Linked DNA regions of Drosophila melanogaster. Changing the gene in region 1 together with any one later gene gives a genetic interaction. Each region holds a gene or a part of one and is shown on either strand. Other genes may lie near its edges.

Region 1 (4,855 bases):
ATTGTATTGTTTTGAGCTTTCTAGCGATTTAAGGCTAGACCTTTTTATACCTTTCGTCTGAACTCTGACACCTTTTCGAGTGCTGTCATCTCGCATCAAAACTGAAATCGCGAGCCGAGCAAACAAACACGGACATATACAACGCTATTTCCACACTTTCGACAACCGAAAGGGGGTGTTCCTATCGATATTTACGACCTATTGAGAAGAGCTTAAAGCACAAAACCCTCTTACTACAAGTCAAACACATATTTCTCACAGCGACGTTTTTTCTTGCCTCGTCTTTTTGTACTGCGGCATGAGTTTTTGGCGAAAAATCGAATCGATTAGTCATGCCAAAAGTCCTCAAGTTTTCATACCAATCCCCTTCACCAACAAAATATAAAACCGTCTTGTGGCATTCGTGGCGTTTTGTAGTTATGGTTCGAGTTTGATTTTTTGAGTACGTTCGGAGGAGAAAAAGTGAATGACTTGTCAGAGTGTATTGAACAAATGGACAGAAATAATAATTCATTTTTGGCATTTTCCAAACGATTTCTTTGACTCATATTTCTGCAGCAACACATTTTTGACACTTTTGTTGATGATGATGGGTAAAAATGAAGAGTAAAAATAAAAACGAAATGTGTCAAACTTTTGCTTTTTGTTTTCCAGTTGCCAGCGGGCAGAGCTAATTCAATTTGCATATCTGAACTGGAGGAAAACGAAACAAATCGGAAAAATTATAATAACAATCTTTTTGCAACTGAAACCGAAGCTAGGACCGAAATAAACATAAATTTAATGGTTACGACTTGGCAAGAGCGAGGGGTGTGGGTTTTTAGGTGGAGAACCACATAAAAAACGTGACTTTTCGTTAAAATAAAATCTATGTATTTGCATGTGCGAGTACAGTGCGTTTCGGGATCGTATTTCCCATTAATTCGTCTCTAAGACCCTAAAATGAAATCGATTTGCAGTGTCAGAACAAATGCGGTAATTGAATCAGTTTCGTTTAACAAAATAATCACATTAAATTTAAGAATCATGTCTGTTTTCTGTTCGGGTGTCTAAGCCCATTAAATATCGTAAGCTTTCAAAACAATTTGATTTAGCCATTAATTCCGTAATTGCCTGTTTGCAGGCGTTTTGTTTTATTGTCACGTGTGTTTCTTTACAACTGGCTAACAGTGTTGAAACGCACAGTAAAAATCGCTCGACTTAGATGTATTTTTTTTTTCTCCATTTTGTTTGTTTAATAGTCTAGGCCTTGTCCGGCTTTAGAATAAAAATGGCTAAATTTGCATTATATTACAACGCGAATATTTGTAGTTTTTACCGTGCTTTTAAGTTAATTAACTCCACAGATGATATATATTCATGTTAAGCTGTTAGGGCGCTTTCGCAAATAATGTGGATATATTTAACGTATTTAATGCCCAATAATGTGGAATAACCATTCCCATTTTCACTCTGACAAATTTGGTTTGCAATTTGTTGAATTTTAATTATTATTTCACAGTTCATTAGGCTCAATTTCAATTTGATTTTCGGTCATTAAGCTTTACCAAGCCAAGTGAACGAGATGTGCATTATTTTAACAGATTAAGCAAGTTTTTTTTAATGATTATAATACACTTATTAATGCAGAATTTATATTTTTGGCCGTGTAAAGTAGTTTGTTTTCAATAATAAATGTATATTTGTGTATATTGCTCCGTACTTTTTTATATTTTTTGGCCTGAACAAATTTGGTAAATAGAATTTTGTTGTTAAATTATTTAAATCAAACAATATAAATTAGCCTCCGATATATATGCATATGCATCTCTGTAATATTGAATACGTCAATGTTTCTGCACCTTATTCAGCACTAAATAGACTCTAAGTAAGTGACTTCTTTTGCAACACTGTAATTATAAAACACTACCAATGAGACTTTATGTATGTTGAAATTAACTTTTTTTTTTAAACTTTAAATACCGAAGTTTTATTGGATGGATACTACACTTTAAAACTACATACACCTTATTAACTTTGAAAAACATTAGTTTCCTTTACGTTTACTTATGTTAATTTTCTCCCATTATTTCTTCTTCTCCAGTCTTGAGAACAACTTTCCTTACAATATTAAGTTTTCCCTGTCATGAAACAGAATTTCCGACTTTTCACTTGGCATCACCGAAAATTCGACAGCAATAACAAACAAGACCACGAAATGTGGCAAGAAAGGGAAGAGACAAACCGATGGATAGAAAAAAAACATAAACTTAAGACGAAGGCGAAAAAAGAGAGAAAACAAAAGGAAAAAAACACAACGATCTCTTTTTTTTTTGTTTTTAAGTATAAACACCTTCGGTTGTCCAGCTGACTTGTTGTTGTTGCTGCTGGCGAAGTTGAAGTTGTTGAAATTGTTGTTGTTGGGTGAAAAAGCGGCTGCTGTTTTATTTTCTTGTATTTGTTTATTGTTTTACTTTTACGCCGATGGTGAATTGAAAATGTATTTTTAACCTTTTTTTCTCGACGCTCCGTGGTGTGTGTGTGAACTAAACACGCGCGTTGTTGCAGAAGCTGTTGTTATCGTTGGTTTTTAAGATGCCGGCTAAAAACAATGGATTTTGCGATTTTTCCGGACAATTTCCCTGCAGCGCTTGCACTATTTTTCTTGAATTTTCACGAACGACTTTCGACAACTTCTTTTTTTCTCCTTTTATTATCTGTCACACACAGAAACGAACACACGCAAACACTCTTACTGAGCACCTCACATACACGTGCACTCGCGTTGTTGTTTTTTTAGTTGTATTTTTGACAAATTTTTCCGCGTTTCTAGAGTTGTAGGCTAAAACTTTTTTGATGACGGCGTTTTGCAGAATTGTGATTATTTCTGTTTGCGGTGACTGAGCAGAAAGTATTGTGTTTGTTATTATTTAGCTGAGAGCTGCTATTTCTTTGATGGGGTTTTCTTGAGTTTTTCAGGCAGGCTCTGGTATAATTCACTTTTCCGCTGACAGAACCGCTTCCATCGAAAAATTTTTCGAAACTGAAAGCAGCAATATTTTTCTGGTCATTCCATTCCAATTCGACTCGAAACTCTCTCGCTCTCTTTCACTCTCTGCCTGTCATTCTCTTTCGCTTACGCTTGCACTGTGGGGCAAAAAACCACATACTGTGGCATTTTAGTAACTTCAAAACGTTGTAGCATATAAGAAGTGGAAAAGATATTCCAATTTATATATTATTTTGTATATTAGTGTATAAATGCTTGACTAACTCTTTTCGTCAGCTTAAATTTTATAGGTGTCAACTGTTGCAATCAAACTGTCAACCCTCCATTCAGTACGAAAAAGTGTTTGTTTGTCCCACAGTCCGACGAGCTCTCTTGTGTGCTCTTAAAGAGTACTTTTATCCAATGAAGAGAGTTCGAGTGTTTTTGGTTTTGTTGATTACCGAGGGGGGTTTTTAGGGGTTGCCGAGTTCAATGAAGGCGAGTCGAGTTGACAATCAACTAAAAGGTTAACTGGCCAAAAGTAGACAGACTTAAGCTTTTGGCGTAGGTTGCGGACTATAAAATAGCCTGGCAACTAATTTTTGCAAATCGGTGACTAAATTAACGGTAGAAACTAGATAATGTATTTTTTGTGGCTCTCTCAAGCCTTCGATAAATCTTTTTTTTTTAGGTGATAAAAAAATTTAAATGTGTAAAACTATAGATAATAATAGATAATAAATATGGACATATAAATAGACATTTTAGGAATTTTAATTTCTAAAAATCTTTACAATTTTGACACAAGTGATTGGGCACGTTATAATTATTTAGGGCTTATGTATATTATAATTATTATATTATAATTATGCTTAGTGTCATAAATTTGCTTTGATGATTTTCTGTTCATTTTAAGTCGTCAGCTTAAGTACGTACATATACAAAACAATTATCTTTTATTTTTGGAAATTTTCATTATTTTTGCTAAGACCCCATTAAAAAAGGTTTTTTGTAAATCTTGAATATGTATAAACCTGCACCTTAAAGAATATAATTATTAAATTATTTTTAACAAAAAACCATTTGTTCTACTTATTCATGCAATGGCCAGGTACATTTTTGAAAAATACCATTGCTCTAATTGTTCACACACCGCAATGATAATTAATGTTTGCTTGCAGTTTCCATTTGGGCCTAAGGACAGAAATAAGTGAACTTAGTGAATTGGAACTTTGTTCGCTCTGTCAAAGTCACCTTCAAAATGTGTTCGATATGTTCTAAATCATTTACGTAAATGCATCCCATCCATAACGGTATAGCTATATATCCGAATGCAGCCCAGCGGGCCAGAAATAGAAATATGTAACGCACACACACAGCCACAACTCTTGACATTTCTATGTCATAAATTTGTTTCGTTCTTTGGATTTTTTGGCAACAAAAGATATGGTCCTAACACCCCCCACATGGCAATTAAAATATGTGGTGTAGGCGTGGAAAGGGGGGAATACCACTAACGCACACCATGCACCACTCCGTGTAGGTTAATTGTAATAAAAAGTGAATGTAAGCGATTTCAAGAACGAAAAAAACGAAGTCCAACGAGAACTGGCATGTGAAAGCCAAATCCATATGAAAGGGGATAGAGAGAGAGAGAGAGAGCGACCCGACCCGAACCAGATGCAGATCCAGATCGAGGAACGCCCCCGCAATGATTTTAGCTCCACTATACGGTGGATATACCCCGCCCCCACCAGGATTTGATTTTTATTATTAGAAGTCCATCGGTGTTTGTGTGAGTTCACTATTTTTAAACGATTTCAAATTGGAGTTTTTGTCAGTGACCCGAAAGAGAAACAAAGATCGCTAATGGAGCTCGGGGGCAAG
Region 2 (6,738 bases), 6.7 Mb from region 1:
CAAAAGATAAACATTAACGACGGGCCATCGGATCCGTCGTGTCTGCCGCAGTGAAGATCAAATAAAAGTGAAAAGCAAATCCGAGCTGACTTTAGTTTGACCTTTGGTGCTTACGTGTGTTAGAAATGTGACCGCTATAGTAAAGTGTACTATAGAATGCCACCAGAGATAAGGTTTCGGAGCAGAGTGCCAAACCTGCTCAGACATTTGAAAAGTTCAAAGATATTTTCGGTCGGGCGATTGAAAAATGAAAGTCGCTCAACAGGTTTCGAGGTCTTTCTAAAATTCGCAATGTAATTTGGCCCCGCACTTATGCAAATACTTTACACATTGCTTCCAGCCATCAACATCTATAAGCCCACGGATGCCACCACTAATCCCTCCCTCATCTTGTCCGCTTCGTCCATGGAGCGGTACCAGCCGCTGGTCCAAAAGGCGGTGGAATACGCCAAGGGCAAGAAGGGGTAAGCAGTTCACTTGGGTGTTTGCCACACAAAGCTACATAGAATACCATCGTTTGCAGCTCCGTGAGTGAGCAGGTGGCCGAGGCCATGGACTACCTGTGCGTGCTGTTCGGAACGGAAATCCTGAAGGTTGTGCCCGGTCGCGTTTCCACCGAGATCGATGCCCGCTTGTCCTTCGACACCAAGAAGAGCGTGGAGAAGGCCCTGAAGCTGATCGCCCTGTACAAATCCCTGGGCGTCGACAAGGAGCGAATTCTGATCAAGCTGGCGTCCACCTGGGAGGGCATCAAGGCGGCCGAGATCCTGGAGAACGAGCACGGTGTGCACTGCAACCTGACGCTCCTTTTCTCGTTCGCACAGGCCGTGGCTTGCGCCGAGGCCGGCGTGACCCTCATCTCCCCGTTCGTGGGCCGCATCCTGGACTGGTACGTGGCCAACACGGATACCAAGAAGTTCGAGGCGCTCAAGGACCCGGGCGTGATCTCCGTGACGAACATCTACAACTACTACAAGAAGTTCGGCTACAAGACCCTGGTCATGGGCGCCTCCTTCCGTAACGTGGGCGAAATCAAGGCCCTGGCTGGCTGCGATCTGCTTACCATCAGCCCAGCGCTGCTTAAGGAGCTGGAGAACGAGACCGAGTCGGTGGTCACCTACCTGTCCGTAAGCAACGCCAAGCTGCAGGACATCGAGAAGATCACCGTCGATGAGAGCCGGTTCCGCTGGCTGCTCAACGAGGACGCCATGGCCACCGACAAACTTTCCGAGGGCATCAGGAAGTTCGCCGTGGATACTGTTAAGCTGGAGAATTTGATTAAGACCTATCTTAAGTAGATGTTCCTCTGGGTCCGCTAGCAGGTGGAGGATGAATACATTCGTTTTTGAAAAAGACAATGATTTTATACTTTAATAAACACTACAATTAAAAGAGATGACAAGATTCAGTTGGGAGTTATGGAAATTATTAAATGGGTGAATAGGTTTGGCATGCAAATAGCATGATTACTCGTTGCAGATATGGATACGAATAATAAATACTAAAAGTTTACAAAATAAATAAAATTTGCAAATTATATCACAGATAAAGATACTTTTTTTTTGATACCTTATCATAACAACTTCAAACATGTTTTCTACACGCCCGTGTAGAATATCTATGTAAGCCTGTAGAGACGGCTGCTTATGTAAAGTATCGGACGGGTGTTTCTGGATTTCGCTATTCTACATAGCTCGGGATACTTTATTTTATTATTAATATTCGCTAAAATAGCACATCGTCATTTGGCATAGATGTTTTTGGCCCAGTAACATATCTATCTACATCACCGCCCGCACTATCCGATAGGCAGACTGACTATCGATAAAAGTATCTACTTCGTTGCATCCCTAGGTTGATACATAAAATAAAAAATATATAAAAAGTGAGTTAGTACTGGTATTAAAAGTAATTTTTAAGCTACAAATTGATGAATTGCGAGCACACAGAGACTAAGAACATTGGGAATCCGGAAAACAGTGGCTGGCGCGTCGGGTGCGATAGAATTGCCTGTTTTTCAGACCCCAAAAGTCGCTCCCAACCGAGTCGTGCACCTATAGTCTTGGCCCGAAGTTGCTCCCATGAATAAAAATGTTCGGTAATTTCACGGTAAACAATAACCATTGTCGAACGCAGGGAATAGTCGCGTTCGCACACGTAATTGCCATCGCGCAGAGATGTGATTCGCCCCTGCAGCCCCTCGATCTCGACCGACCTCCCGATTTTCGGACGTCCTGCGTCCTGCGACCTGCGACCTGCGTCCCATGTCCTTAAACCTGAAATCAGTGAAAAATCGTTCGCGCATGAATATCCAAAATACAATCCCATCCATCGAATTCAATCCATTCGAATCCAAACCAATCCAAGCAGATGCGTTGCGATGCGATTCCATTCCATTCGATTCGATTCGATCCGATTCGCGATGGTATAGGTATAATATAGTTTTTCTAACCAAGTGTCAAAGAAATGGCAAATATTTCGGATTCGGAGGCACGGAGCACTACGTATTGATATATGTACATACATTTATTTATGTACATCCATCCATTCACACATGCGAACCGAGAACTTGTGTATATATCTAAATACATACGCACGTATATACGAGTAGATACACAACGGTGTGTACTCATATCTGTGAGATATATATGTGCCCGTGTCCGTGTCCGTGCCCGCTTAGATCCCGATTCCGATGCCGATGAATTTATGTACATATATTTACATTAAAATCTGCATATCTGCCATATCTGGCATATCTGCCACCACCCCCTCCGCCTATATAGGTATATGTGTAGGGTATAGTACGTTCATCTTCCTGCGACTCCCGTCGGTCGGCAATAATTGCTAGATTAAATACTCTTAATATTCGCGTGCCTACACTCATCCGTAAACCCACATACGAGCTAATCGAATCCGAATCCGCGTATCGGACCCATCCATTCCATTCGAGCCTCAACTGCAGATGGAATTATGTTGGGTTGGTATCTCTATATACATGCGTACCTGCTGCCCAGTATGCGCGAGAGTGCCACCCTCTCCGCCCCCTTCTTCACCTGTTACACTACGCCGATGTTGTGGATGTCGATGTGAATGAGAATGTGAATATGGCTGTGAATATGGATGTGAATATGAATGTGATGAATTCCAATCGTCCGACGCGAATGTCCAACGCGAATGAACGCGCGTTGCGTGGAGTAATTTTTGATTTTGATTTTCATTCCGATTCCGATGCTATGCGAGCGCTTTTGGGACCCGAAACCCAGTGACTCACGGGACTTTCGTGGGCGGCAATGTCAGCGGCGTCGCCTTGGCTTAGTAGGCACCCATTTTGGTCGCTACACTCGCGCGTACGCGGATGATATGGGGGCACTGAAGTGGATTCGGGATTCTATGCAATCGAAATGGGTTTCTGCTGGAGAATCTCAGTTAGTGGGAATAGAAAGCTCGAGGATCGTTAGTTCTGAAAGTTCTGTTACTCATTTTTCCATCTACTATACCATTGTACGAATGCAGCCTGCTGCAGAGATCCACTGAAGCGCTGAGCCAACGCCAACGGTGGTGCCACTGAGATCGGAGATCGGAGATCGCAGACCGGAGACCGACGAGCACACAAGGGATTGTGGTTTGATCCGAGGAACCCAAGCACTCAGCTATACTGGAGCAGAACGGAGAAAGCACAAGGGGTGCCGAGTCGCCCGACGCGAACCAGGAAAACCGAGCGACGTGTTGGTGGACCCCGTGGGCTGCGATGGGTTGCTTTGGGTCGCCCACCTCCAAGCAGTCGGACGTGAACTCGGAGGACTCGAAGAGCCAGAAGCGCCGGAGCGATGCAATATCTAGACAGTTGCAGAAGGACAAACAGCTCTACAGGGCCACACACAGGCTGCTCCTCCTGGGGGCGGGCGAGTCCGGCAAATCAACCATAGTCAAGCAAATGCGAATATTGCATGTCGACGGATTTTCTGACTCGGAAAAGAAACAGAAAATTGATGATATTAAAAAGAATATTCGAGACGCTATCTTGGTGAGTTCCATCCCGCCGGCCATCTAAGCCCAAACACTTGCTTAACTCCTTGCCAATCCCTTACAGACTATTACAGGAGCCATGAGCACACTTAATCCACCTGTAGCTTTAGAAAAGAAGGAAAATGAACCCAGAGTGGAGTACATTCAGGATTATGCATCTAGTAAGAGCCTCTGCCGCCCCAACTTAAGTTGTTATCAACCATTATCTGCCCCGCAGGTCCGGACTTTAATTATCCTCCTGAATTTTATGAACATACAGAAGAACTATGGAAAGACAAGGGCGTTCTTCAAACCTATGAGAGGTCGAATGAGTATCAATTAATCGATTGTGCGAAATAGTAAGTAATGCCCACCCACATTTAACATCCTGCCATCGATGTGTTGAGCCAAACGAATAGTTCTTGTAGCACTACAAACAGATTTAATTGTTTAATTTAATTCATCTCGGAGTGCATGCCAATTGTTCTGAAAGCTTAACTATGTGTTTCACTTGGAAGTGCAGAAATTCAATGCGTTGGATCGAAAGTATGCAACTTTTAATTCTAACAAGTAATCCGCTTGATGAAGTAAACTTTAAATATCGTCGCTTTGCTGCAGTATGACTATCTGAAAGTAGAACCACAACCTAAACCTACTTTCGCATTCCATATCTGTCTGTCTGTACAATAATTACTACAATATATGGGTTTTAGAATGAGTCCAATTCTTAAAAGGAGCTAGTAGTCGAAGTAGTACCAACTACGCCATGCACATAGAAGTATCGTAACGATCATACTTTTCCAAGTTGAGAAGGCTTTTTGTTTAATTCCCCGAAGAAACAAGTTGCTAAACACCAAGTCCCAATTTTCCGTAGTTTATGCCAGCTAATCCGCATTTGTACTTGTATCTAAGCTTGATTAAGGCACTGAAACCGAATTTGTACTTACTTCTACACTTGATATTCTGCTTTGAAGCTTCCTGGACCGAGTGAGCACAATCAAGAATCCAAACTACACCCCTAATGAGCAGGATATTCTTCGGTGCCGTGTTTTGACTTCTGGAATATTTGAAACAAGATTTCAAGTGGACAAAGTAAACTTTCAGTAAGTGTAATCCCAAGTGATATCGCAATATTTTAGTTTCTATTCCATTCTAATGATGTGCATTCGCGTGCAGCATGTTCGATGTCGGTGGCCAGCGGGACGAGCGTAGGAAATGGATTCAGTGTTTCAATGATGTAACTGCTATCATATTCGTAACTGCGTGCTCAAGTTATAACATGGTTTTGCGGGAAGATCCCACCCAGAACCGACTTCGAGAATCTTTGGATTTGTTCAAGAGTATTTGGAACAACAGGTGAACCGAGCAATTTGGCGCCATCTCGACAAATGGAAACTAACGAGTTGTTCTTTCAGATGGCTTCGCACGATTTCTATTATACTATTTTTAAATAAGCAAGATTTGTTAGCAGAGAAAATTAAGGCTGGAAAAAGTAAATTGTCGGAATATTTCTCCGAGTTTAACAAATACCAAACGCCAAGTAAGTAAAATAGTATAACCCATAGTAGAGGCCAATTGAGGGCGAGGGAGTCATCAGATCAACCGACTCAGATCTGGCCAAGAAATTCGCAATTCCTTTTCAAATTTGCAAACCGTGCCCAAGTTAACTTAAGAAATTTAATGGATAATGTATTTTGTCTAATTTCAAATGTGCTGTCGACACAGGTGACGCAATAATGGAATCCAATGATGACCCAGAAGTAATACGAGCAAAATATTTCATACGAGACGAGTTTCTGGTGGGTTATATCACATCTCCGTTTCTTCCTCCACCTATCTAACTAGCCTTAATCCTTAATGGGATCTCTTTCTTATATAGCGTATATCTACCGCTAGCGGAGACGGAAAACACTACTGCTATCCACATTTCACATGCGCCGTTGACACAGAAAACATTAAACGTGTGTTTAATGATTGCAGAGACATTATTCAAAGGATGCACCTTCGTCAATATGAATTGTTATAGGTTATCCCCATCGCCGTAATGCAAGTAAATAAAAATATTAATGACTTACTGTTTTAAATATAATTATCAAATGTAATTTGTATTTAAATAGTCCCTTGATTAAAACAAAAAATTCGCTGCATTTAGATCTGGTATGACCTTTCACAAAACTCAACATTAAAGAATAATAAATAAACATGTTAATAACAGACACGCTTGTTTCGATTATTTTGGCTATTCTACCAGGATGCACCTGCTTTATTTTCTATAGTCCCTTGACATGAAGCATTTTAGAGTATTTCCGCTATCAGAGTCCGTATCCATATCCATGGGCATTTACATTCACGCGCTGTCGAAGGTATCACTAGACGAGCTGGTTGAGGATGCTGAAGCTGGCGGAGGCCTTGTCGATCTCGTCGAAGTTCCGCTTGAGCTTACTGCTCCAGGTGTCCTTGTACAGGGGGTCCATCCTCACCAGGTAGGGCACCAGGTCCCGGTGATGGCCAGACCCGATCTTGCCGGCCGCGCACTGCTTCACCGAGTACTTCGTCTTGAACTCCGACTGGCTGCACTCGTAGCAGACGACCGTTTGTCCATTGGCAGCCGAAATCAATCTGGGGATCAGGGCATATGTTTCAGTGATTGGGAAGGGGATTAGTGAGTTCAGTGAGTAATGGCAAATAGGCGGGCAAGCAGGCACTTTGGCTGCCGGTATAGCCACGTATTAT
Region 3 (7,472 bases), 4.0 Mb from region 1:
CTCCAACGATAAGCACGTCCACGCTGACTTCTACAATGATTTTGATGATCTGTTCGATGAAGACAACTGGGCCAAGATGAAAACCGATGGGAAACAGTAGAGGCCACCACGCAATAAATGGATTGAAAGATTTGTATTCGCGACTCGTTCTTCTGTCTGTAATTTTACTTGCACAATCAGCGATCATTGGTGTATAAAAAATTGCTTCAACTATTGTTTAATCGCTTATTATATTCATTTGGTTCGTATAACTAAGGTAAATTGCCATGTGAGATAGTGCCGAGGTGGATATGAACTTTGGCTTAGCGTAAATCAACAAAATGCATAATTTTGTACAAAAAAACGAAACTATTAACTAAATTTATCGAACTGAGTTTCAGGTGGAATGAAGCAATCATAATTGAGATAAATACAAATGTACACAATAACCTAATGGATCCGTGGAAGTTGTTAACCAAGTTGTAGGCCCTCTGCAAAGCTATCCGTCCAACGGCGTGCCCAGATAGACCATCGAGACCTCGGTATTGCCGTAGACAGCGGATACTGTGGGATAGAGCTTTTTGTCCGGCAGGCCTGCAAGGTGAAAGTGCATAGAATCGTTCGTATCGCTGGTATCACCAAACTATTTCCCCTTACCCCGGAAGGCCACACCGAGGAACTCGTAGTTCTTCTCGAACGACAAGGTGTTGTCCTCGCAGTCGAGAATGACGCGTATCCGCTCGCCCACTTGGTACTTGGGAGCATTGTTCAGCAGCGGGTAACTGCCCTGCATGTCGCCGTTGTGCAGCAGGTGGTTCTCGACCAGATTCCAGCCCCAGCTCTGGTCGTCGGAGCCGAGCAGAGCCACATAGCCGTGACACTGTAGAGCCGCCTCCTTGGTAGATATGCCGATGACGGCCACAGTGCCCAGCGGTCCCTCCCATATCACCTCCCAGGTGTGACGACCGTGGCGGAATCCTATCTTGCCCCGGGCCGCGTCTGTGCTCTGCGCCACGGGATTGCTGCGGGAATGGAGGGACATACATATAACGCCGACTCAAGCAAACCGAATACCTTACCGATGCAGGGTGAATCCGTTCGGCTTAATGTACACATTCCTCGAACAGTCGTTGGGGCTCCAGGCGTGAAAATAGGCCCGCAGCTTCGTCTTGTACGTGGAGACGGAGGCCAGCAGGTCCGATTTGAGGGACTCCTTGGGCAGCTTGTTCAGGCAGTGCCAGCGCCAGACGTCGCTGTTCTCGTCGTTGAGGAAGTGGTACCAACTTTTGCACACCTGCGAGCAATGACTGAGGTCGTCCAGCTCCAGGTAGGAGAAGATTACCTCCAGCACATTGTAATTGCACAGCGCCGCCACCGGATCGACCATTGTGTGCGTGTGCGCTCCGCTGCTGGGCTCGTGTAGATAGCTGCTTGGATTTACCCGTTCCTGTTGATTGTCATTTTCCCACACCAACCAAATGGGTAAAAATAAAACTCGAAAACTTTAATATTCTGCGATTCAGGGTGACCGTTGGCGGGCTGCCAGCGAAATACCGCTCACCTGGACAAAGTGGCAACTTTGTTTACATCCGCGACCAGTGTGCGATAGCGACTGTCGCACACAGCTGCTTACAACACTGCGTAAATTGATGCGTAAATTGGCGCGCACTGTCTGCCATTTCATTCGCACCCGCACACAGCCTGCTTTGCCTTTCCCACATGAAAACGAAAAGCAGCCACTTGGTGGAAATTTTGTGACCATTTTGTTGCGCTTAGAAATTGCGGAAATTCGCGCTGCTGCCAGCCGTTCGATAGCTAAAAGTTCGCCGTATCTTTTGCCACTAATCTCGTGAAAATCCGTGCGCCGAAACACCGCGAAAAAGGCCACCGAAAAAGGGCCGCCGCTGTGAGTGTGTGTGAGCAGCAGAAAAGAAAAAAAAAATGCCCTGCCGCTGGAAGTGAAAAATGCGCTCGCCATTTTGACTTGGGCGACACTTATTTTTTGTACAAGTGCGCTCCCCATTGCAGTCGTCGTCGTCGTGGTCGTGGTCCGCATCCGGATTTGCACACGTGCCCCAGTCCGTGGGTGCAGTACGTCCGCCTATCCACCGCCGTCGCCCATTCCAGCTCCATTTGCCCCCCCCTAGCACACACGTTGCGGCGAAACGGCACGTAGCACTGCTCTTTCCTTTTGTTTTTGGCGGTCCACCTGGTGAGCGGTAAGCGACAACAACAAGATCACTTGATCTCCGGCGGCCGAAAAATGGCGCATTCGACGGGCGGTACGGTGAAGACCGATGAGGTGAACTTCTTCTTCCGGAACGAGCACGGTAAGTGGGCGGAAGCGGTGTCCTGTAATAGGAGTTTTGCTCACGATGGAGTGAGTGCACTCCCTCCCTCCGCTATAGTCCATCATACACACACACCCCCTCATACACAAGGCGACCCACACAGATACGCTACAAAGTTGCATGGGCAGCGTAAAACGCCATCTTTGCTTTTTCGGGTTTCTTTTGCCTACCGTATTCATCGTTTGATACGCTTTGCGGGGGGAGGCCAGCGAGACGAACCGAAAAGAGTGCTAGAAATTGGCAAAAAGTAATAATAAAAGACAGAGACCCCCGCGAAATAACAACTTATATCAGTAAGCCACCCAGACCCGCCCCCTTCTGCCATCTACGCCCATCGCCCAGTTGGCGCGCTTGCTCACACACACACATGCACGCACACTAGCACGCGCGCGTTTTCTCCTACTTATTTTTTTGTTTTTTCATTGGGCGGCGAACAGCTGATTACTTCGCCGCCACTGCGAATTCGCTTTGAGGATTTAGCATGAAGTGAAGTAGTGATAAATCGTTGATTTCAGCTACGTACAAAGGTATTATTGTGAGGGACATTGTAAATTCAACTTGAAACAAATGTATCTGAACAGCGTGACATTCTGCCATATCTTAGCGAGTGGGAGAGAGACGGGGCGCACCGCCAAGAGAGATCGGGGTGAGAGAAAAAAGGCCACAGCAAGAACAACACTGCCACACACACACACACGTAGTCAGCCACGAAGCTGAAGCCCAAAACAGGCGAGAGCAAATAGGTGTAAGCGCTGTACACGTGTGTAGTTGTCCGTCGCCGCGTTTATGCGGTATTTACCGTACCCCGCAGTACTGAACTGATTAACTTCATGAGTTTCATTCAGTCATGATAGCAAAGAAGAAGATATGGATAGCTTTATGACGTGCTTTTATTTGTATAAAATGTCTCTTTAATCCCCAATATGTAAAGAAATAGTAATTTTTAATCAGTGATATTGCTCTTTGTTGAATATGAAGCGCGCATAAACGCTTTATATAGACCAGTATATCAGCCTGTTCGTACCAGCGAGTTACCTGGTTTGTAGTTATCTGCTGGTTGACTGGTGCAGACGAACTATGGAACTGCTTCTCCAATTGTAGGGATTATGGTTTCACCTGCATTTTGGGACTCTGCCTAGGCATTGTAGGATAACTCCCGCCGAGTTTAAGACTCCCATCGTTACCATCTGGTGGGACAGTCCGGCATTTTCTCGCATGTGTCCGCTGCTCAAGCCCCCGTGAGTCTGACTCACTTGCAGGTGTGTGTGCGTGTGATGTGCCCGTGGGTGCGGGAGAGTTGGCAGGTATTTTTAGCGCTCGACCCTTTGCGGTTTTTGTTTTGGGCATCTTCATCTCCATTATGCGTTGTCCACCTGCTTTGTTGTTATGATTATGCAAATATTGGGCTGGCGACAGGTGAACAATTATTACATCGAATGAATACCATCTAAAACTGGAAATGTTTAGAAAAGCCGGTTGGATACGAAACCCAGGGGTGCCAACCGAGTAGTCTTAATGGGTTTCCGGTTAATTCTGCCTTGATATTATAGTTGCTTTGGAATGGAAGTGCTCATAGTGTTGGATATACCAAATTAGCAGTAAATAAAATTTACTAAAGAACGCAACTAAGAACAGTGATTTGAAATGTCACGCTTTTAAAAATACTAACCGGTATCATATTTGCTCTTACTTTTTCTTCTGCTTAGGCTTCTGCTTGATTTATTGTCTTTCCAGTTAAAAGTCGAATTGTGAGTTTTAATGGGAAACCTATAATCGCACTATATTTAATTCAAATTATATTCGAACTTGGATTAATCCGACTAATGACTGATCAACAATCTTGTCGAGTCACGAACTTTAGTATCGAACCATCTCTAATTGGTTAAGGGTCACGTGGTTGCCATCACTAATGTCCAGGCGATCTGGTTTCGGGTTGTTTATGCTTCTGCATTTGTATCCTTGTCACACCGATTGAAACACACGCACACTCACCACCAGCACGTGAGTGTGGGTATACCTTGTGTGTATGTGTGTATGCACCCCAATCTTAATGTGCCGCTCGCCTTTCGTTGTTGTATTCCGACTCCAGTGCGCTTAACTCGCTCCATTCCATTCTCTTCACTTCGCTGCGATGAATTCACCGTATATACGGCGAAAAAACGCATCGTTGATAGTACCACACATACATTCAGTTACTCGCTAACACTCTGACACCCATGTGTGTGTCTGTGGAGTACATGCAGTTTTGTTATCAACGACGGCATTTCAGTCGCGTGTTATGTGTATATCGGAAACTAAGGAACCTCCGCATCTTCCAATTTCCAATTCTGCAGGACAAATATCCAAAATGCTGAAGCCGGCCCAGAACAAGTCCGAAATGGAGGGAGGTAAGCCCGTGGCGGTGGTCTACGCCACCGGCTCATCCGCGCGCAACAGCGGAAGTGCTAGCGGCATCGGCAACGTGGGACGCATGGGCGCCTTTAGTCAGATGGTAAGTGTAGAACGCGGTTGCTCACGTTGCTTACACTTAGTACCTAACGATCCGATTTAAACGCAGGGCAGTCAAGGGCAGTTTATACGACTGCAGGACAACGGACTGTCCATTCCAAAAACAGAAGGTAAGCGTGTGATCCTCCTCTTACCACTTCAATTAATCATTGTATCCCTTATTGTAGCAGGTACCACCTACACCACCGTTTCGGCGCAAAAGACTTCGGGTGCTGGCAGTGGTCATTACGACTTGCCCTTGAAGGGAGATCGCTATGTGAAGTTTACACCAAATCCCATAAAAATGAAATCAAAACTGTAAGTAGTAACCAACCGAGCAGGATCGAGGAGGATACTATAGCTTTGTTCCTTCCCAAACAGCCATGCCATTCAGAGCAACTCGTTGCACTCCATGTCGGCCTCCTCATCGTCCGTTCAAAGGAAACGCAAGCCGGACAAGGCAGGCAAAGGTTTGCGCCATTTCTCGATGAAGGTATGCGAAAAGGTGGAGGAGAAGGGCAAGACCACCTACAATGAGGTGGCCGACGACCTGGTCAGCGAGGAGATGAAGAACAATGCGTACGACAACAACTGTGATCAAAAGAATATCCGACGTCGTGTCTACGATGCGCTCAACGTACTGATGGCAATCAATGTTATTTCCAAGGACAAGAAGGAGATTCGCTGGATAGGACTGCCCGCAAATTCGACAGAGGTGGGACTTGTGTTCACCAAAGGCACCAAACTCCATGCTAATGTGATTATTTTGTCCCCTTTTCATAGACATTTCTGGCCCTGGAAGAGGAAAACTGTCAGCGCCGCGAGCGAATAAAACAGAAAAACGAAATGTTGCGCGAAATGATCATGCAGCATGTGGCGTTCAAGGGATTGGTCGAGCGGAACAAGCGAAACGAGAGCCAAGGCGTGGTGCCTTCCCCGAATGCCTCGATCCAGCTACCGTTCATCATCGTGAACACGCACAAGTCCACGAAAATCAACTGCAGTGTGACCAACGACAAGTGAGCGCTCACACTCAGTCGGAGTATGGCTTGTATTCTATTTCCCATATATCGTTTCAGGTCCGAATACATATTCAAGTTCGACAAAACCTTCGAAATGCACGATGACATTGAGGTGCTCAAGCGTATGGGATTCCTATTGGGTGAGTGTGTTTAATATTGGGCATTCGGGATAAGAAATTCATTGCATATGCTATTACCTGCAGGACTGGATAAGGGCGAATGCACGCCGGAGAACATTGAACGAGTCAAGTCGTGGGTGCCTCCAAACCTTGCCAAATACGTAGAAGGTATGACCATATATTGTCTTCCAATTCACTGTTATTAAACTTTATATTTGGCCCAGCCTACGGCACCGGCAAGACTGGCGAAAATATGTACGAATCGGATGACGAGGACAATGAGTTCAACGGGTACCTGGAGTCGGCCAATGAGTCCCAGGGCTTTGCACAACACTCGGCACAACACACCACCGATGGCGAGTTCAAGCTGGAGATGGATGATGACGAGCTGGACGACGACATTGATTGAGCTGATGGTGCCGCCGTCATTGTGCCAGCCATGGCCGATGCGGACACGGATGCGGATGGAGGAGCAGATGCTGATGCGGAGGACACGTTTAGTTTTACGTTTATCAACGCTTTGTTAGGTTTGCCACGGCCCCCTGGTTAGTCAGGAGCCGCACTCCACTCCAATCCACTCCACACCCAATCCGACCCACCCACACAATTGGTTTTGTTTACTTCTCAATGAGACTCTTAAATTATATATATACAATCTCGCAGCGACGAGAAAGATTCGGTAGTTCATGTATGTAAGTGTAGTTTGCATACACAGTTTGTAATTGTATCATTGAAGATTTATGTTTAAGCTGAAACGTTTTTAAAATAATTTGTCTAGTTAAGGAGAACGCGTTTTTAGTTCAAACCACAATTCACATAAGGCAATACCGCGAAACCACATGCCCAGACTAATGTTCACTCTCTAATTAGTTGTTATCAGTCTCCCTTTTCCCCCCAATGGCCTTTTCATGTTTGGGTAGGCTTAAGCAAAAGCGATAATGTTATGGGTAATTGTCTCTTAATAATATAATATACCAAAACTGTACACAACCGCAGTGAAATGCAATTATTTTTAGAATGCCACGAGCAGTTTGAACTGCAGACAAGAGCGAACATATGAAATATGTTTAATTTGCTAACACCCTTTGACAAAGCGATTCTTTTAGATTCTCAAAACCCAAATTTTAAGTTGACAAGGGAGTGCAGATAGTTGCGAAATAATCAACCTACCTAATTAGTAATAACAATTAAAACACGATATACATTTTCAGAATTTGTATTTATATTATTGAACCCTCTTCAAGTGAATACAACAGCATGCAAATACAAATTAGTAGTCAAGTATAAGGCGTTAACAATTAAGTGTCGAGCATGTAGTTGTGTAATGAAACGAAATAATTGCATGGATGGAAAGGAAATTGCAAACAAGTGAGACGAAATCGAACCGAGTGACAAGTTAATAAAGAAGTAATTTGCATATTGTAAAATATGATAAACAGAGAATTTAATCTTTTCCTCCCTTCTGCTTGCACCCAACCCAAGCAATAAGTCCAATAATCCATGACATCGCATAT
Region 4 (8,024 bases), on another chromosome or scaffold:
GTAAACATATATAAGTAGAATGGGCCGAAATAAGGGATATGCTATTCCATTTTAGAATTTGTGGATTTTCTTTGAGATTTTTCCGCCATCGTTTTGGATTTTCTTTCAGCTTTCATGTCAGATTTCCTTTCCGTCTTCATTTCAGGCTTTGTATCGGACTTGATTTCAGACTTCAGTTCAGACTTCTTTTCAGACTTCCCTTTAGACTTCTTTTGAAAGTTTTTTGTAGACTTTGGTACAGATTTTCTTAAAGACCCCCTCGACATTCGTTTTAAGGCGGCTAATTCCTAGTGACATTTCATCTAATGATGACTCCATAATTCGATTTCTCTGCCAAGACTTACCCTTTCTTCGCGAATCATCCTTTCCTGATCTATGAGTGCTTGCACTTCTTTGATTCGCTGAAGATACATATCCTTCTGTTCCATGTAAAACTTTAGGTCGTCCTTAAGCTTTTGCAGTGCAAGCCTTGATACGGTGCACATGACGTCGGCGTGTTCCAAATCGGTATCAAGTCGGTCCTGCCAATTTCGAATGCTTTCCCTAAGCTTTCCCACCTCCAACTCATACATGAGTCCGGAGGAATACTGCACCTTTTCATCCTGCACTGCTTGTACCTCCAGGTCTTGTAGCTCTCTTTTTATCTCCACATTTCTTTCGTTCATCCGGGTCAGACGCTGATCCGTACAGCTTTTAAACCAGTTGATTTGATATCGCGTTTCAATCGGGTTCAGGGCTGCGGAAGAAGATGAGTTTTCCAAATATGGCTCATAGTAACCCCACTCACCTGATTTCCTTTCGAACACTATCATTGCCGATGAGTTACGACGTAACGACGTCAAGGAGCCACTTTGCTCATTGAGCAAAGCGACTGACGCACTGGATGCCAGATTTTCGATATTATCATTAAGGCTCTTTACCCAAGGGGCATTCATGTGGTATTGGGCATTTCTGCAATAGAACACATATGTCAATGTCGCAGTTAAAGCTAAACAAAGCAATCGAAACACCCTTACTTTAACAAATGTAGGCTATTTTCGCAGAGGTCTACGTCGTCTCGAAAATCTCTTCTAATTTCGTGTATAAGGTGTTCGATCTCGCTGAGATCCTTGCAGAACTTAACGCAATCAAGATCCTTGACACTTCGCTCCCGATTGAGGACATCAAGGTAGATCTGCTTTACGTCCAGTCGCAATAAGAAGTCATCCAACGACCAGCTGAACAGATTGTTTGGGGTCTCCTCCAGATCGCCTGGCCAGGGCATCGAGAAGAGTCGCAACTGTCTGAGCAGACGAACCGATAGGAATTCGATGGCCGCCTTTTGGACTTGGCGAATGAGATCTGCTATTATGGTGGACCTCAATCTTATGCTGGCTATGACTTCCTCCATTGTTCTCCTTACGGACGTTCTTTGGCGCTTTTGGGCCATCTGCAGCACCACCATAGCCTCGGCTTCCTTTACATCTGTGTCTTGGAGCTCCACTGGCCGCTTGACTATCGAAACGTCCCGCACTGTAGATCTAACCACTAATGAGGCCACTCGGGACTCGTGCTCCCTTATCAGATCCTTGAGAAACTCATCTCGGCACATTGATGGATCTTCTTGCTCCGGCAAGGGAAAGGGAATTTCCCAAGAGTCAAATTGCTCTCCTTCGAGACTAACCATGCCAGGTACCACGGCTTTCAAATGCTTCGTCTTTTTATGGGGCATTTTTAGAGTTTTTTGTTTATTTTTGTTTTATGTTTTCTATTCTGAAGTATTTTTTGTGAGTATCATTTCTAGGAATAATGTTAAAAGGGGCTGGTACACCATCATATGATGGTGAAATCTAAATACAACGCATTGAATTCCACACCACGGAGTTATTATCGTTTATGGTGATAAATTTCAAATCCCCCGCCATTTAGTGTTGGCAAGCGTCGTTGCAAAGCGAACAAATAAACAGCTGATTAGGCAGTGGATAGAAGCAGCAGCTCTAGCCATTCGCATGTCAACGCGGCTGCACATTGCTTTGAATTTTTGAATGTGTTCGTTCGTTTATTCTTTTTACTCATTGTTTTTCGAGTGTTGTTTATTGTTTTAATCAAAGTTAGTTGCTCCGCTTGTCAGTTTACATAAGCAATCTCACAGGTGGGACCGAATCTAATCGACTCTCCTCTGCTTGGCCAGTTTCCATCCGCGGCGCTCAGTTGCTAAGTTTAGTTGGCCACTTTTCCGATTCGGAGACTCAGGTGCATTTTCCGTGACCAGGTAAATAAGCTTGTCTTAGTCTATTGTTTCTGTATTCGGCGGCTTGTTTATGTGCTTGATTAGCAGTCAGCTGTGCATATTTGCGTCTCTCACATGCACACTATATTTGGCTTTTAATTACCCACAGCTGCGCGTGTGTGTGTGTGCGCCAGAGTGGGAGCTTGTGGCCGTGTGTGTGTGAGCCCAGAAACCGTAGTTACGTACATCACTGCGTATGAGCAATAAACTGTAATTGAGTCAAGGTCAGTAATTGGCACTTGATTGACAAACTTCGATAGCTGCTCGCTTATGTACATTTAAATTCAATTATTATCGCCTCTCTCCGCCCAAATATTTACATGCATATATTCCATTTGCCCTGCTTATCATCGATCGGTACGGGTTTGAAAACCTTTCCACTGACGTTTGAATTTATGACCTGAAAAAGGTATTTGCTCTTCCCTCTTTCTGTCCATATTAGTGCCTCTAATCCCTGCGATCTGTTCGGTTTATGCGCCATATAATTGATGTGGTTTCCACTGGAACGTTAACCAAAGCCGATCACGACTGACAGTTTGCTTTGCCACGGTTGGGAAACCACTGTCCCCCTGATAAGCACCGAAAAATGTCGAAAATAAGGCTCGTCCGACTTTAAGCAATTAAGCAAATAGCCAAGTTAACACTGCAAGTGGCGACAGAAGCTCACACACTCACCCACATGGAAAAAAACTCACGGGACTGAATCTTACGCAGATACAGTCGAAACCCGCTAATCAGATACCGGCGAGGTGTAATTCTAAGCAGATCAAGGCGACCCTGGCATAACAAAAATACCAACTCTAGAGAAATTTTTCACTCAAACCTTAAATTTCCAACATAATTAACCAAAACGTTATGTTTGAAATGAAAAAAACATGTTTAATGCTTAAACTGGCTAGCCTTTAAACACAATTTCTGTTTTTGTAATCATTAATTAGCTCTAAATTGGCTACAGTCAAAGGTTCGCCATAAGAATCTCAGAAAAAATAACTAAAAATCATTGTAAAGGCTTTAAAAAGAAAAGCTAGTAAGATGTTATATAAAAATTAAAGCTTTACTTTAAAAACGTTGCTCTTTAAAACTCGACCTTATTGTAAATTGTTATTAACTTAAGATTGTGGATTATATAGACGAGGCTTGACTGTACTTGAACGCACACAAACTGGCGAAAAAGATATGGAGAAGACGTCGACGAACTCGTTTCAATTGAGACGCAAACTGAAACACAATTCATTTCGCTGGAGAACGCGCAACCGAAAACATTTTCCACCTCTGCTCTTATTCGTCTTCTAACTGATATTTTTTTACTCACGGTTTCTTGGCCTTTGGTCTTTTGCGTCTCCGATAGAGCCCCAAAAATAAAATGGAGCAGTGGAACAATGTGGAGCTGACGAACATGTCCAAAAAGTCGTATACCCTGAATCATGCCTACGATGCCGCCGAGAAGTTGAACAAGGAAAACACGGCAAAGTCCTCGAATGGCAATGGCACCAGTGCCGATGAATCAACAGCTGCAGATGGCGATCTCCTCAAGCCAGGATCGGACGTGCGCCCAAAAGTGGAGCCCGAGGACGTGGAGAGCCTGCTGCGTCGCCTCTACGGGATCACGATAAGCGAGGTTAAGGAAATCGTCGCCTACGACGATCGCAACTTCTTTGTCAAGGAGGATAGGTAAGCAAAGCGATGACAGTATCTCGCTGACACCCTTTCCCAATCCCGCACCACATCCGGAGGTTTATCTCGTGTATGGGAGTTCAGCGTAAGCATCTCATACAGCTGCAGTCAGATTATTAGCACAGGCAATTTCAAACATCATAATATATCATTTAGATCAGGATTAGTCTTCTATATAGTAAACACAAGAATTCGTTGCTTGAAATAATATCTCCTTTAAAGCATCAACACAACATATTTTCTGTGCTTTGACATGACTGCAATTTTAGCTGCTGTTCGTAGTACGACTGTGCAACACGAAAACAAATAATAATGAGCCGGAGAAATGCGGCGGTATGTAGCATCTATTTATACCCAGTTTAATTAAAGTTGTTAGTCGCGGCAGTTGAGTGTGACGCAGTCGACAGTCACCTTGCCAGCATCGCAATTGCTATCTTGATGGATTCATGGCATTCAGCACTGATGTAGTCAGTTCAGCTCTTCACTTTAATAAATTAGATAAATCTAGAGAACAAAAAGCTTACAATCTAGAAGAGCCATCTATTTGAGGACAGGTTTCGTCTGGAAGCCAAACATGCTGAGCTTGGTTTGATTCTGGCTCACGGCACCCAGTTTTCCATTCGTCCTAGATTTAGGAGTGCCCTTCTTGGCAGTGGAGGGTTTACTCAGCCCCACTCTTCGTTTGCTGGTTGGCAAAAAGTTCTGGCGTTGCTGGCTGGAGGATGAGGTAGATGATGCTCTCTGATCCGAGCTACAGCTGTCGTCCGATAGCAGAATGATGGCATCATTATTGTTCCTGTCGGATTCCTGAGTGGGTTCCGGAGAGTTTTCCAGAAGTAAATCCAGTGACTTAATGCGAATAGTTGTTGAATTGGTATTGCCTTCAGTTGGTATTTGGGGTTGAGAGTTGTTGAGATCTTCTTGGGATTCTAAAGGCGAAGGAACACCTTTATCTTGTGATTCCAAAAGAGAAGAGGCTGTGGTATCTGTATCTGTTTCACCGTCACTGATTTGTGAACTACAACGTTGTCTTATTGGGTTCTTCCCTGGAATGTCTTTACATACTAGTCTTAGTTTCTTATGGCCTGAGTGAGAGCTCAGCTTCTGCTCATCCATATCGTCATTTTCCGTATCTCTTAAGTGCTCCCTTTGAAGCCTTGTCTGTTCATCCTGCGTGGCGAAGAAGCGACTTCGGATCTGAACTTGTTCCTTGGCGAATATGCTTCTTTTAAGCGAATCAACCTTTTTTACACCAGCTTCTCCATCCAACGGACTTGCCTTTTTCGGACTAAGCAAACGCAGCAAAGAGGCATTCTCACAAACTACTGGGGATCGCTGATTAGCTTCTTCTCCAGTCCTTTCCTTGGCAAATGGATTGTGCCGACTTTTGTGCACCGGCGACGGAGGAGGTGTACGTTCTTGATCTACAGAATCTTCCCTGCTCGGACTTCTCCTCCTTTTGGCTTTGAAACTGTACATGTTAAACAACTCGGCCTCCGTTTGTTTAGCCTGTTCCAGTCGCTGATTAGCTTCGATTTCCTCGTTTAGAGTTTTGCCCACAAAATCCACTTTTTTGAAGAACAAGGCACACGGATTTTCTTTCTTCGGCGTGTGAGTGTTTTCGCTTTGAAAATTCGTTTGCCAAATACTTTTGTGCTTGGATCGTTTCACGTTCTTCGGCGTTGGCCATGCCTTTTCCGGTGTCCAAGAGTCCAGTCGCTTCATAGAGAAGGGGTTCAAGTTGCCTAGGGCCAAGTGCAAAGCCTGCTCGCTATCCTCCAGCAAGGTGCCAGCATTGCTGCAGTAGCGCTCATCAGTTTCATAATCTTCGAGGGCACACAACCGCTGCATGCGACGCTCTAGCGGGTTGTAGATAAACATGTGCCTGAAGGTGGCCTCCGCTTTCATGAAGTTTTCAATATAGTCGTCATCTACCTGGATTAAAGGATTATTAGTCTTACAATTCAGACCTAACCGCAAGTTAACTTACCTCAAGATTGCGCATATTGAGGTAACTTGGAATCTTTTTTAATGCTATTCGCATGTCTTCCTGTTCCGTTTTTAGTATAAATTTGCACGCCTTGGCCAGTCCGATGCCAGGCAGTGAGTCCAGGTAATCACAGCCGGATAGGATGCACATGCGCCGGAACTTGTCAAAGTGGTACTTCTCCTCCGTGCAGCCCATGGCCAGGTGAAGTTTTTCCGCCTCCACCAGCAGGCCGCTGCCGTTGAGGTCCAGCTTGAATATGATGTTCTTGGCTCCAAAAAGCGTTAAGTCCGAGTCCTCGGTGATGATGTACTGGGCCACATCTGCTCTATTCAGCCAGGCCATTTGGGCATCGGCCTCGTAGGGCGCCACAATGCAGTCAACATTCCGGCTCCGGCATTCCCGGATCAACCGCAACGCCATGTCGTGGGTGACATCCACGCAGCGTCGCATATGGGATCGGGCCTCCTCGATGCGACCCAATCGAAGGAGTTCCGCCGCCCGCTCTTTGCTCTGCTTCCTGGAGTCCCTTCTCCGCTTTTCGGTCAAAGCCTTGGCCGGCAAGTGCTGCCCATCGAAGACCAGAATGGGCTTGATGTCGTAGGACAGCAGCATGTTCACATACTTCAAGCAGTATTGTATATAAACATCCGTATCCTCGCCGCGGGCCAACTTCTCCGCACAGCCGAAGACTCCCTTGTGTAGCCAGCAATATGTGTCCACGGCCACTGTGCTGCCGCGAATGTCTTTTAGATGCAGCTGCGAGGAGGCCTTGCCCACGAAGGGAATTAGGCCGGTAATGCCCATGGTTAGGACCAACAACAATAACACATATAAAAACGAAATAAACAATTAATAAAATTGCGGATCTTAGCGCCAAAATTGCCAATGCATCAGTGTGACCAAAGTGCGATGCTATAAAAAAAATTCGAATTGCCATTCACATGGAACGCATATGTCTATCATTATCCAACACTTGGATTTTAAAAATAATTCAATATTTCTAACAGATATTATTTTGTATTTTTATGAATGTGGCGCTTTGTTATGCCTCATTTTTTATTTACTCCTTAAGATAAGTAATTTCCTATTGAATACATTTCCGTATTGCAGTAATGTTAAGAACCCCCTCATTGTAACCCACTGTCCACACGGATACGTCCTGAAAATCCTCAACTCACTGGACTCTAAGAAAGAGGACTTCGTGGATGCCCAAAACCAGATGCTGCTTTACTTGGGTAAGAATTGCTAGCCAAATCATCAGCAAATTGACAATGCAATCGTATTCCCTAGGAAAACACAGTGTGAAATGCCCACGACCAGTAGCCAATGCAACAGGAAAGTATTACTCTGTGGAACGGCTGAATGGGAATTCGAATGTGGTGCGACTGCTGGAATTTATACCGGGAGAAATCTTCCACCAGGTGCCGGTGACGAAGCACCTGCTCTACCGCAGCGGCGAATACTTGGCCAGGTTGGATCGAGCCCTCAAGAACTTCACCCACCAGGCATATGAAAGCCACAAGACCTTGTGGATGCTTCAGAGTGTTCCCGAGCTTAGGCAATTCCTGTACGTGGTGAAGGATCAGGAGCAGCGGCTTATCTGCGACGAGGTGATCGATGCCTTTGAAGCCAAGGTTCTGAGCCAACTGCCATCCATGGAGCACCAGATCATCCATGGGGACTTCAACGAACAAAATATAGTGGTGGAGCAGGTGCCCAATCAAACTGAATATACCATCAAGGGAGTTATTGATTTCGGTGATACGAGCAAATCGCCACTGATCTTCGAAATTGGAATTGCCCTCACTTATATGATACTGCAGGCCAACGATTTGGCCAATGGTGGCATATTTCTGTCCGGTTATACCAGTCTGAACCCAATTGAGAATTCCGAGCTGGCCCTTCTCAAGTACTGTGTTACTGCCCGATTTGTTCAGAGCCTGGTAATGGGACTCTACACCCACACGCTGCATCCCACAAATGAGTACCTCCTGGTGACCCAGGAAAAGGGATGGAAGCTCCTTCAGAAGCTGTGGCGCGAGAGCTTTGACGATATTGATGAGCTGTGGGCAAGCACTGGACACCAGTACT

Evidence for each region.
Region 2: of mbl (region 1) and Galphas, changing one enhances a phenotype caused by changing the other (phenotypic enhancement), as found in Drosophila melanogaster (one study listed by BioGRID).
Region 3: of mbl (region 1) and Dp, changing one enhances a phenotype caused by changing the other (phenotypic enhancement), as found in Drosophila melanogaster (one study listed by BioGRID).
Region 4: of mbl (region 1) and CG31751, changing one enhances a phenotype caused by changing the other (phenotypic enhancement), as found in Drosophila melanogaster (one study listed by BioGRID).

Annotation. Positions count from the first base shown.
Region 1 is NT_033778.4:17,263,689-17,268,543, reverse strand, and holds the start of mbl (muscleblind), read right to left. Parts: upstream 3,027-4,855; 5' UTR 2,333-3,026; intron 1-2,332. UniProt on the Drosophila melanogaster protein: Required for terminal differentiation of photoreceptor cells. Vital for embryonic development.
Region 2 is NT_033778.4:23,940,717-23,947,454, forward strand, and holds Galphas (G protein alpha subunit s), read left to right. Parts: upstream 1-1,821; 5' UTR 1,822-1,885; exon of another isoform or gene 1,886-2,098; intron 2,099-3,260; exon of another isoform or gene 3,261-3,513; 5' UTR 3,514-3,748; coding exon 3,749-4,024; intron 4,025-4,090; coding exon 4,091-4,187; intron 4,188-4,243; coding exon 4,244-4,364; intron 4,365-4,979; coding exon 4,980-5,108; intron 5,109-5,181; coding exon 5,182-5,361; intron 5,362-5,420; coding exon 5,421-5,545; intron 5,546-5,721; coding exon of another isoform or gene 5,722-5,730; coding exon 5,731-5,804; intron 5,805-5,884; coding exon 5,885-6,031; 3' UTR 6,032-6,220; downstream 6,221-6,738. Other genes in the region: Taldo (transaldolase), read left to right, coding at 341-464, 524-1,298; orcokinin, read right to left, coding at 6,375-6,624.
Region 3 is NT_033778.4:13,220,804-13,228,275, forward strand, and holds Dp (DP transcription factor), read left to right. Parts: upstream 1-1,629; 5' UTR 1,630-2,242; coding exon 2,243-2,309; intron 2,310-2,787; exon of another isoform or gene 2,788-2,857; intron 2,858-3,371; exon of another isoform or gene 3,372-3,659; intron 3,660-4,518; exon of another isoform or gene 4,519-4,608; coding exon of another isoform or gene 4,609-4,663; coding exon 4,664-4,821; intron 4,822-4,887; coding exon 4,888-4,948; intron 4,949-5,005; coding exon 5,006-5,135; intron 5,136-5,198; coding exon 5,199-5,532; intron 5,533-5,600; coding exon 5,601-5,836; intron 5,837-5,896; coding exon 5,897-5,979; intron 5,980-6,042; coding exon 6,043-6,126; intron 6,127-6,182; coding exon 6,183-6,367; 3' UTR 6,368-6,942; downstream 6,943-7,472. Other genes in the region: CG17059 (uncharacterized protein), read left to right, coding at 1-100; Fsn (F-box synaptic protein), read right to left, coding at 479-573, 637-1,001, 1,059-1,366. UniProt on the Drosophila melanogaster protein: Component of the DREAM complex, a multiprotein complex that can both act as a transcription activator or repressor depending on the context. In follicle cells, the complex plays a central role in the site-specific DNA replication at the chorion loci.
Region 4 is NT_033779.5:18,675,222-18,683,245, forward strand, and holds the start of CG31751 (uncharacterized protein), read left to right. Parts: upstream 1-1,999; 5' UTR 2,000-2,251; intron 2,252-3,494; exon of another isoform or gene 3,495-3,617; 5' UTR 3,618-3,632; coding exon 3,633-3,940; intron 3,941-4,409; exon of another isoform or gene 4,410-4,483; coding exon of another isoform or gene 4,484-5,878; intron 5,879-5,933; coding exon of another isoform or gene 5,934-6,737; exon of another isoform or gene 6,738-6,854; intron 6,855-7,043; coding exon 7,044-7,168; intron 7,169-7,223; coding exon 7,224-8,024. Other genes in the region: Mst36Fa (Male-specific transcript 36Fa), read right to left, coding at 42-287, 345-736, 788-951, 1,017-1,711; tos (tosca), read right to left, coding at 4,484-5,878, 5,934-6,737.